Arabidopsis thaliana: one gene and its partner. The protein of the gene in region 1 purifies or fractionates together with the protein of each later gene. This does not show direct contact. Each region holds a gene or a part of one and is shown on either strand. Other genes may lie near its edges.

Region 1 (4,933 bases):
CTTCAAATACCTCTATCTGAAAGTTTTATATGGCTAACATTGGTCTGTTTATGTGTTGGTGGTGCCCCAGCCAATGAACACACCCAGATGAAAAAAAAGCAAGCAAAGAAGCATAGAGCTCGGAGTTACAGTGACCCTTGCTTCTATAGGAAGCCTATTTTGACTATAAGTAGGAAGCCTATTTTGACTATAAGAACTTGTTTCCAGCTAAGTTTTTGATAGATTGCTTCCATGGAATGCATCTTATCAGATATACTAGATTTTAATAAATTTCCTTGAAGGGTAGTAGATCGGTTAGTTTTGGTTATGCTGTTTCCAATCTCTGTCTGTTTTGCTTTTGACTTGACCAGTTTGCTGTGTACATAATCAATCTTCTAGGCTTTCTAATCAGATGCTCAGTTTCTATTGCTTCATGTAGTTGGAATACAGTCTTTCCTCACTTCAAATCTTTGTCCCAAATGGATAAGATTTACAATTTCTTGTTACGTATATAATGCACCAAATTGAGTAATAAAGAAATGATTACATAGACCATCCACTAAAACAAATGTTCTACATAGCATGTTAATTTGAAATCAAAAGCAAACATGGAAAAAAGATTTTGCAAACACCTGCATTATAGCAAAAGATTAATCATAGCTTATTGTCCCAAACAAATCCCTAATTACATAAAAGTTGAATGATAAGAAGATAACTAGAGTCTAATGAATTCAAGGAAAAAAATAAGATCAGCAGGACGGTGGATCCTGACCATTGGATCCACCTGCTTCTACTCCTTTAGCCATCTCCACCACATCGGCTTCTTCAACACCACCAGCTTCGTTTTCCCAAAGCAGTTTTGCGGTTTCTTTCTTTTCTTCCACTGCTTTTGGAGGAATTAATGCAGCTATGTTAATACTTTGAGCCTTCTTCTTCTCTTCTGCATCTGCTAACTCTTTCGCCTTTGCCTCTGCTTTCAATCTCTCTTTCTCTTCCATTAGTTTCTCCAGATCTCCCTCTCTTCCTCCTTTCCTCAGTTCTTCTTTCACAAACTCTTGCAGTTCCTCACTCACTCTTACCGTGTCATCATCCAGCATCTCATCCACAATCTTGAGCATCTCGTCGAGTCTACCAGCTTCACTTAACGCCCTCATGATGAATTTGTAAGCCTCATCGTCCATCTTGAGTTTGCTCACCATCATATCGAAGAAAGATTTTGCATCGTCGAGTTTCCCAGCTTTGATCAACTGATCTTGCAAACGGTTATACACAGCCAAATTTGGTCTTAGATTAGACTCAACCATTGTTTTGTAATACGCAGCTCCTTCATCTATCTTACCTTCCTTGAAACAAGTATCCATTAACAAACCATATGTGTACTCATCAGGCTTCACATTTTTCTCTTCCATTTCACCATAAAGCTTCTCAGCCTCAGCCAACAACTCGTTGTCACACAGCTGATTCATCAGATTGTTGAACGATAAAGTATCAGGACTACACTTAAAATCACCCATTTGCCTAAAAACCTCCATAGCTTCCTCAAACTTTCCTCCAGCACAGTACCCATTAACCATCACATTAAAAGTTCCCAAATTTACAGCCAAATGCCTCGGTGGATTATGTTCCTTTTTCACCGCATCAAACAACTTCAAAGCCTCATCAAACTTCCCATTCTCACTCAAAGCCTCCAGCACATAATTATAAGCCATAGCACTCATCCTAACCTTTGAATTCTCTCCAACAGCTTCCTCATAACACTCCATAGCCTCTTTCTCCATCTCCTTCATGAAATACCCCTTCATCAATTGCCCATAAACCACACCATCATCAACAAACCCACCAAGCTTCTCCTTTAACTCCTGATAAAGCTTTAACACACCATCAGCATCAGAATTCTTCACACACCCCATCATTAGATAACTATAAACAACAGGATCCACCACAAAACCTTTAACAGCCATATCCTCTTTAATCTCCATTGCTTTCTCAAGATTGTCATTACTAACTAAACCCTTAACTAAAATCCTAAAAGTAGCAATAGAAGGATTCAATGGAGCATTATCTATAAACAACTTGTAATGCTCCAACGCAATTTCAGGTTTCCTTACATCAAGATAAGCCTGGAATATCAAATTGTATGTGATGATATTAGGTGCAATACCAGCTTGATTAATGAATCCATGCAATTGCAGAAGCGCTCCATACTTAGCTTGTCGAAGCTGCGCCGCTAAAACAGTATTCACAGTGAAAATCGTGGGACGGCAATTCGAATACACAGAGTGACGAGTGTACAGAGCAGCTTCTTCTAAATCATTCTCTCGGATCAATTTCAGGATATGATTATGAAGATCGAGACGTTTCCCAACGAGAGCAGAGACAGATTCAGGTAATTTCGGGATATTAGGGTTTTGAATTGGTCGAGGGATTTGAGATTGTTGTTGCTGAGATCTGTTGAATGAATTAACCGGTGGCTCCATACGAAGACGACGCTTACGACGGCGACGTTCAGCGGCGGCTTCTTCCTGAGTCGCGAATGACATGTATCGGACGGCGAGAAATGGCTGCGGCAGAACACGGTGGCGGTAGGATCTTGATAGTGTTTGAAGGTGGTTTAAAAAGGCGGCTTTAGAAATCGACATGGTTGAAATGTTTGAGATTTTCTGAGTGGAAAAATGATTCCTTTCAGAGGAAATGAGAGAGATAAGGGTTCTTGTTAGGGTTTTAGGAGTTTGGAGATGATGATGATGAGGTTTAGGGATTGTTTGGGAACGTGGATAAATATGCTTGGGCTTGGCTATTTACGTTTGGGCTTTATTGGGCCATAAGCTCGATTTTTGGAGGACCCATTCTTGATTTCATCATATAATTATAATTAAATATTTTTAAAAACTTTCTTTTTCTTTGGTTAGGAATCTGCATTCTGCACAATGATGTAACAAAAAAAGAGCGGAATACGTTGTGCGTAATATACGCGGTGCCGGCTTATCTATAGAGGCCGGCACTTCGACCGGCCCATATCTCTCTTAACGAGAAATTTGTTGTACCACATCCGTAGTAATTTTTTTTCTATCTTATAACTGTTATTTTATAAATAATTTATCCATTTATTATTGTATATTTAGTCCAACGAATAAGAGAACAGGTCTAAATTTTAAATAAAATACTTGTATTTCATGTATTTTTTTGTTTGGGTATTCAGTTTTTACAAAATTTAGTACAAGAAGAATACACAGTATAGTATAGCAAAAGTTATTGAATCTAAATCTAAGACAAAATGGTCCAACAGATATTTGAAAAACGTGGAAAACAAAAAAAACAAAAAGATATTTGAAAAGCAAGCTATGGATTATTGACTCCAAAATCAAGTTAGTTCCGCGCTACTCATTTATTATGTGGCTTGCGTTCCTGGGCAGATTGCCTACTAAGGACAGGTTGCGGGGCTGGGGTATTAACGTCACCTCAGCTTGTGTTCTCTGTTCTGCTGGCATCGAGACTCATCGATACTTATTCTTCGAATGCCCCTTCTCTTCCTCTGTTTGGGAAGCTTTAACTTCTAAAGTTTGGCGCTTGCCACCCTTGGATCTTCTCTCAGTCTCATCTTAGATTTTACAGCGCAAGCTCCAACCTCAAACTCTCTCTTCTGTCATCATCAAGCTCATCGCTCAGGTTGCGTGCTATCTCATTTGGCGCGAACGAAATGCAAGGATCTTCACCAACATCTCCACTTCGGCTTCTGTGACTAAGGCTGCCGTGGACCGCACCGTTAGAGACCGCCTTCTATCCTTCCCTGGTCCTCCTTCTTCTTCTATTTCTCTTCTTAGTTTCTACTTTGGTTGTATCTCCTTCCCTTTCTAATTGTTGCTTTTTTAAATAAGCTGTTTCAGCATTGTAGAGAAAAAATTAGAAAATTGGTATAAAATTTAACTTTTTACCAAAAAAAAGTTAGCCAATATATATCCGTAGGTAGAACAAAAGGTCTCCGTGAAAATGAATAGTTTTTTTGAACATATTCACTTTTCTTTCCCTCCTTGTTATATATTCTGGTAAGTAATTTGTTAATCTATCTGGCTTGGTATCTGAGATTAATTTGATCGATTCTATACAGTCTTTGGAATTTTGGAAATATACTTCTACTATATAGTAATAACAATTAAATTATTCCTAACTTTAAAGGTTGTAGAAATAACATTACCTAAAAATAGAATGGTAGAGAGTCGAAGTATATTGCAGCACGAGTCCATCTCGCAAGTGATGAACCAAGTGACCGTCTATCCGCAAAAACCCAAAAACAGCCATGTCCGCCTGGGTGTCACTTGACATGCGAGTATGCGACTTAGCATTTGCATTTGTGTATTATATATTTGGACCTTTGGTGTAATGAAAATATAATCTGAATTTGCATCAATTTTAAGTTTTAATGAATGATAAATTATAGTAATGTATAACGTAAGAAAGCATTTTAATTGGAAAGTGACGAAAATGATGTTTGGTATTCTTTGTTAAGTCGAACATGACTGGAACATATGAGTTCCCAAAATCGTGGCCCCCACAGTGAGTGTCGGTCGTGGGCCGTGACCTATGGACTTCAATCACATGAGCTCCTCTCTCCGGCTCTCACCACTCATCACCGACACATCCAATTCATATTTGTTTTTTGAATGTTTGAATTATTTTGTATCCAACATTAAAATGTGTGAATACAAAAAAAAATCCAATAATTTTCGAAACATTTAGTCGGTTAAACACAATAATGTTGCTTGAGTCTGGACTTTTAGCCCTTCTTTTGACACACAAAAGAAGCATATAAGTTACGTTTAATCAAACTAGTTTAACTTTTTATGCATGGCATATATATCACACATCAGTCAATAATTACTTCTTCACTGTCAAGAAAACAAGGGAAAATTATCCTCGAGTGTTCATCTATTATTAAATAATACCTCTGGAGAGTGGA
Region 2 (6,686 bases), on another chromosome or scaffold:
TTATATAAAAATATTAAACACGGCCACAAAAGTCTTCACTAATCAGTTTCACTATTGTTTCAGACACAACTTGACGGATATTTCCAATTTGATGTCTTAATCATCTTTTGTACAAGGTCATAAGCAAATGTTTCATAGCCTCTAATGTCTTATCCCCTTACATTACTACACATACGTCTCACTTTATGATTACTTTAAGAATTTAGAATTCTTAGAGTGGAGACAAGTTTCTCTTGCTCATGGCCTTAACATTTCTGAGAAGCTCTGGTCTGAATCAGAGACATGTATGGCCTAACTACGTAAGTTTATTTAGTAACTCAATTGTTTTGACTAGGGTTGATAGAGAAACGTGTGCAGTAACCTACCAAAATAGATTTTGTTATTTGGCAACAAAAAAAAAAATAGATTTTGTTGTATTACTCTGTATACCAAAACTGATTTCAATCCGTCTTTGTGGAATTTAACCTGATTATATGTACAATTTTAGAAACGTATAGGATCCATCATGGACAAAGCAAACATGTTTTGGAAAAAAAAAAAAAAAGTAATAGAGACCAAATGGAAAAACATGGATCTTTTAGACGAGAGAGTTCCAAGGTAGTGATTATTAGGGTTTTGAAGTTGGCTTATATATGGCACAACTCTATTCTTACCATTGGGTTAAAACAACATATACACTATAATCTTGATGTCGATTACATATGTATAAAATTTGGCATAAACAGCTCAAGAAATTATAGGATAAATATGAAAGTATTTTATTCTCGGATTGTGCTTTTCGTTATAAATTCCAAATTTTATAATCAGATGCGTTTTTTTAAGCATTTTATCATCAGTTTTACTTCACTAGTAAATGCAAAAAACATAACGTATGAATAAAGATTTTACAAAATGATATTTTGGTTTCCAAGAGTTTACTACTACACTATTTTTGAGTTCTAATATGATGATGATGATGCAATCAATATTGATTTCTTCATATGATCAAATGATATGAACTTTGCCATCGCTGATCATCACTTTGTTATCATCTTGCAGTTTCTGCATAAAATCCACAATAGAGTAAAGTTATGAAGATATTGTATAAAAAGTTAAAGAATGAGAAAGCTTGTCTCTTAATTTGTGAATTACCTCTAAGAGAGCCATAATCTCATCTGCAGAGTAACGAGATGCTCCAACCCCATTGTTGTTGACAACAGTCTCTATATCTGCAATAGAGATGTCATCGAGCCTGTGTGTCCTCATGTGCTGCCCAAACACTCGCTCAAAGGTTTCAATCCTTGCTGCAGAGACCGTGCCGCTGAATTGCTCTACAGAAGGTTCATCTACTTCCATTGGATCTGCTGTTTCACTGAATGGACCAGCAAAAGAGAAAGAAAAAAGTATAAGGGTTGAGAAAGCTGTGATATAGGTTTCCATGGAGGAGATCAAATTAGTTTACCTGTCGACATTTGCAGTGTCATTCTCTGCTCCATCTTCATTATTCCTGCGTTGGTTGCCTCTACGTCCACTTGGTGTTCTTTCTTGTTCAGCTTGTTCCCTTTGACGTTCTTCTTGCTCACGATCATCCATCTCAGTTAATTCTTGATGATATATTGCAAAGTTCATAAGCTTCAAGGCAGCCTCTGCATCAGCTTTAGTAACCTTTCAAAATAAAGTTATCACTTTAGAAAGAATCTGAATAGAACATATTCACGACCAGGTGGGGAAACAGAAGATTTGAGTTAGATTGTTACCTCGCTACTCAACTTCATTTTGGCATGTGCCGTAGCAAGACGAATTATTGTCTCTAGAGTTCTGGCTGTTATCGGAAGCGTACCTCCAGTCTGCAGAGATTTCGATGGTTGTGTCAAATACAAGTTCCCAAGACGAAAAAGATACAGTGTCCAATGTTATTTTATGAAATAAATTACCTTAGTATCGGAACCTGCATTTCTGAGATCTGCATATGCTTCTGCAATACGTTCCGATGCCTGCAAATTTAATAACAAAAGAGATTTAGTGGAAGAGATTATCAGATACATAAAAATTTATATATTTGAGTTCACTGTCTCACTTCATCAGTGAGCTTTGGTGTAATACGGTGCTTGGCGTAATGAATGTACTTCTTCAAGAACTTAATCGTAAGGGTTTTATCATGTGTTTGGCCTCTTTTCTTCTTCCCATGTAGTGTTTGGTTATACTTAACAAACATTTCACTCTCAGCATTGTCTTCTCTCGCGTAAGGCAAGCTCCCATCTGGCCCTGCCTCACCTATGGTTCACTCAAAAGTCAGATGCGTTTCAAGACATGGGTTGTGAAATGTTTAGTAAAACATAGAAGCATGATTTGTTTCCTACCTCTATCGTTCTTGTAACGATGCATGCGCAAGACATGTTCTGAAATCATGCTGTCGATACCAGCATCCATTTGATCCAACACAATAAACAGTAGATCAAAACGAGAAAGCAGCGAATCTGGAAGTCCAATGTTCTTTGTTGGAGTCAGTGATCTGTCATACTGCAGGAGCAAGAGTAGGTATTAGGACAAAAAAATACTAGTCAGTAGAGTAAGTAGATTAGGAAAACTTCGGTGAGAACTTACAGTTCCGTATATGGGATTTGCAGCTGCAACCACACTGCATCTAGCATTCAGTGATGCATGGATACCGGCTTTTGCAATTGTTACAGTCTGTTGCTCCATCACTTCGTGTATAGCAACTCGGTCCTGATCATTCATCTTATCAAACTCGTCAATGCACACGATACCTTTATCAGCGAGGACCATTGCACCAGCTTCTAGTCTTCGTTCCCCTGATGAAAATGAGAATTTGATTTTAATGAGAAATAGCACTTTTGACCTTCCTTCAAATTTTGATTTTAGCATTTGATAAAAAAATGTGGAAACGCTTTTGTGTGCTTTTTACCTGTTTCTTGGTCAGAAGTCACAGCAGCAGTTAACCCAACACCGGAAGAACCACGGCCTGTGGTTGATATAGCCAAAGGTGCAATATTCATTATCGCTCTCAGAAGTTGAGATTTGGCAACAGATGGATCACCAACCATCATCATGTTGATGTCTCTGAAAGCACAAGATTTGTTTTCAAGTGAAGAAAGAAAAATGAGTTAGACAAAAAGTATCCAATGAGTCGAATCTGAAATCTGTTTTCAAGCAAGACTTACCCCCTCAAGTGGGTTCCGTTCTTCAGGTTCTTTTCAACACCACCAAGCATCAGTAAAACTACTGCTTTCTTTATCCAAGCGTGCCCATAAATAGAAGGTGCTAAGGAACGAGCAAGGAGATCAAATGCATCATCTCTTCGTGCAATATTTTTAATGTTATCTAGGTCTTGCTTAGTGTATATAGGTGCATTTGCTTCTTTATTGAGCAGAGCGATATTATTGGCTATGAGGATAGTCCTACACAGAAAGAACTCGGTCAAGACTATCAGAGTGAAAACATCTTGAACTAACAGATGTGTAAGAAAACGCACCTAAAGACTCCATTTACACTACCCTTGCTTTTTCCAGGAAGAGCTTTGTAAATACCGAAAACAGATACTCGATCTCCTGGCTTGCATGAGTCAACAAGGTCATCCTCAGCAATGACATCAACGCTTCGTGGAAGCTGACCAGGAGCAGCATTTTCAGGCACTTCTTGAATTGACAAGGTCTGGTGATCTTTGTATTTGCACAGCCCATACTCAGTCACCAATAAGTTTCCCTTATCATCCTGAACAAAAAAAAACTCAATCTTCAGTAAGAGGCAAATCTTCCAGCAGTACAGGTAAATGAACAAAACGAAAACAAAAAACATGTAATTACCCTTGTGGGATAGACAGAGCCAGTGGGTAAACCAGCGTGAGATGTTATGTCTCGATAATCTCGATTGGTAAATTCACCGGTTGATGGACAAAAGTGAACGCTTTTAACAACCTTTGGCCTCACAAGAGAGCCTGAAAGCAAAGCATGTGTCAGAGGTTCAAAATCTTCTACGTAAAACACAAAGGAAACAGAAGAAAAGCAGAGGAATAGAGTGAAAATGATGAGCTTACATTTGGTGACAATGCCCTCAACACAGACCATAGATCCAATAAAATCAGAGAGAAGCTCTCTAGGAGTAACAACGCGAGAAACAAAATAACCTTCAAAACCAACAAGGACAAGCTCTCCTTCCTTCAAGTATTTAGGGTCAATAGCACGAGTAGCTTCAGTGGCTGCGTCACAAAATGACTGCATATACTCATTTGGATTCTTCAGTATCCTATCCAAAAAAACCAAAGCAATCAACTTTAAGGTCACAAAACATATGACAATTGTAGTGAATCCTTAAAAATCCCCAAATTAACCTCACTGAATCTAACAAAACCCTAAAATCTGCCGTAAATTCATAACCTTATACTAAAGAACCGATTAAAAATTCGAGGAAGACAAATTGAGAAGATGACGAACCTAGAGGCAACTTCCCTGAAGTGGTGGTGAATGTCAGAGATATTAATAATGAGACGGTGACGCTTTTGATGTACCAAAGCCTTGATTTCCTCCATATACATCTACACAATCCGTAAAAAAAATCCAATTTTTCAAATTAGATAAGAACAGAAGCTCGAGAAATGTCTGGTGAGAAAAGTGATAGAAATCGACTTACACTATCGAGGAACTGGATAAAATCTCGCTTGTGGCGAAGCCTCGTCTCCTCTGGCACATCCATTTCTTAACAAAATCTGGGTTCTTCGTAAGAACTTTTCTTCTTCTACTTAAAAAAAAAAAACTGATTAGAGATTTTCGATTTCCGATTTCGAGAGGCATAAAGGGCGGATCTTCTCCTTATGGCGGGATTTCGTGAGATAACCTGTACCCTTTTTGGCGGGAAGGGTCATTTTGGGCCGATATTAGTTGGGCCTTTCGTCTACGTGCTTTTTGATTAACCAAATTTGGGCCGGTACAATTTTGGACTTACGTCTACGCGCTTGTTTGGCGCGTTTGATTTCCTCAAGGCGGTATAATACACCCAGATTCTAAACCAAAAACCAGACATACCAAATCAATTCATTGTAAATTCGGTTTAACTTTTGCTACTGCCTTCAAGCCAGTAAACCGAAAAATGTATATATGAAAACCAAAATAAACCTGTGTGATTTGAGAACATTTTCGGATGTATCACAACATATGTATAACTGAAAAAAAATTCAGTATAAATCTAATTTCTTCGAATGTAAAAACACGACAAGAATTGTTGAGAAATAAAAGATGAGAATCCCCTAATTGGATTATTCTGACAATAACACCGTTACTACAAGATTCTCTCAGTTTCTGTTTTTATAAATTACGCAAATATGGAACGAACTAAGATACACAACATTCCGCAGACAAGAGAGAGAACAAACAAAATCTGAAATCTCAGCAACCGTAAGAAACGGGGAATGAAAGAACCGCAAAAGGCCAGAGGAAGAGCTCCAACTTGTGAACCAAGAAGCTGCAAGTGGTGGTGATGGATGATGATAGTAACCGATAGGGCAGAGAATCTAAAAGGTATGAAGAAATCAGGGTTTGAAGGCAGAGAAGGCGACTACCGAGTTGTGTCCACCGAACCCGAACGAGTTTGATATGGCTGCAGCAAAACAGAAAGACATTAATCAGTGAAACTGTTGCCAGTTTAATCCAATGAGAAGGCGGTCATGTTTGTCACTTACCAACATCAACCTCGTGTTGCTTCTTCTCGTTTGGGACCGTGTCAAAGTCCACAGCTTGTTCTGGGTTCTACAATGAGAAAACAAAGAGTGTGAGAGTCTAATACAATGACCAAGTTCAAATCTTGCAACAGTTCAAACTGAAAGCGGAATCAAAGAAGCCTTTTCTTGACTTCCTGTTATACGTACAAATTGGTTGATGGAAGGATGCAGCCATCCAGTGTTGATAGCCTTCACGGTGGCGATGGCTTCTAGACCTCCAGCTGCACCGAGGCAGTGACCTATCATAGACTGTAACAGAAACTGTCATTCACAGGAAATGCAAAGCAAACAAATACATTGAAATAGAGGAGAAGAAGAACACTCAATCATAGAGCATTGGGGACGAACCTTGGTGGCGTTGATTTTGATCCCTGAAGTGCTCTTGAATACCTTTTTAATGGCATTAATCTCAGCAAGATCACCAGCAAGAGTGGAAGTTGCATGTGCATTGATGTAATTTACCTGAAAAACGTGGAATGAATATAAGTAGGGAAGTAACACGAATCTAATGAAGAAATTTGTTTCAGATAGCCTTAAAACTTAGGAAGCATGAAAAGTTTGTGTTTTTTACCTCCTCAGGTGATACACCAGCATCTTCCAGGCATCTTTCAATGCATGAAGAAACCCCAAGACCATCAGCTCTTGGATCAGTCATATGGTGAGCATCACAATTAACAGCACCTCCAAGATATTCTGCTACAATTGGAGCACCACGTTTCATTGCATGTTCCAAGCTTTCCATCACCTATTAGGGCATACAACAATTAGTGGGTCTCTCCAAAACAAAATGTCACATGTATGAGCCAATCTCATGGTGAGATAAACCAACTTTGAAAATGTAGTACAATTCAAGTGCAAGGAAACTTCCAGAGCTAATAGACTAGGGAACACAAGTTTCATCAGATTCTATAAACTAAGACCAAAACAGGCTCTTATATACAATTCAAAACAGAGCAAGCCAAATGTATGTAGATTC

Evidence for each region.
Region 2: the proteins of emb1796 (region 1) and MCM3 fractionate together in Arabidopsis thaliana (co-fractionation; one large-scale study listed by BioGRID). This does not show direct contact.

What each region holds. Positions count from the first base shown.
Region 1 is NC_003074.8:18,253,771-18,258,703, reverse strand, and holds emb1796 (Pentatricopeptide repeat (PPR) superfamily protein), read right to left. Parts: upstream 2,744-4,933; 5' UTR 2,619-2,743; coding exon 729-2,618; 3' UTR 501-728; downstream 1-500. Other genes in the region: DMS3 (defective in meristem silencing 3), read left to right, coding at 71-91; AT3G49230 (uncharacterized protein), read right to left, coding at 3,797-3,854, 4,172-4,299.
Region 2 is NC_003076.8:18,768,918-18,775,603, forward strand, and holds MCM3 (Minichromosome maintenance (MCM2/3/5) family protein), read right to left. Parts: upstream 4,787-6,686; 5' UTR 4,690-4,786; coding exon 4,627-4,689; intron 4,532-4,626; coding exon 4,431-4,531; intron 4,243-4,430; coding exon 4,034-4,242; intron 3,935-4,033; coding exon 3,804-3,934; intron 3,712-3,803; coding exon 3,473-3,711; intron 3,399-3,472; coding exon 3,162-3,398; intron 3,061-3,161; coding exon 2,906-3,060; intron 2,793-2,905; coding exon 2,584-2,792; intron 2,500-2,583; coding exon 2,340-2,499; intron 2,254-2,339; coding exon 2,057-2,253; coding exon of another isoform or gene 2,045-2,056; exon of another isoform or gene 1,974-2,044; coding exon 1,914-1,973; exon of another isoform or gene 1,827-1,913; coding exon 1,737-1,826; coding exon of another isoform or gene 1,725-1,736; exon of another isoform or gene 1,645-1,724; coding exon 1,442-1,644; coding exon of another isoform or gene 1,438-1,441; exon of another isoform or gene 1,352-1,437; coding exon 1,132-1,351; intron 1,042-1,131; coding exon 985-1,041; 3' UTR 732-984; downstream 1-731. Other genes in the region: AT5G46270 (Disease resistance protein (TIR-NBS-LRR class) family), read right to left, coding at 162-173; KASI (3-ketoacyl-acyl carrier protein synthase I), read right to left, coding at 5,522-5,589, 5,672-5,738, 5,810-5,959, 6,059-6,172, 6,282-6,455.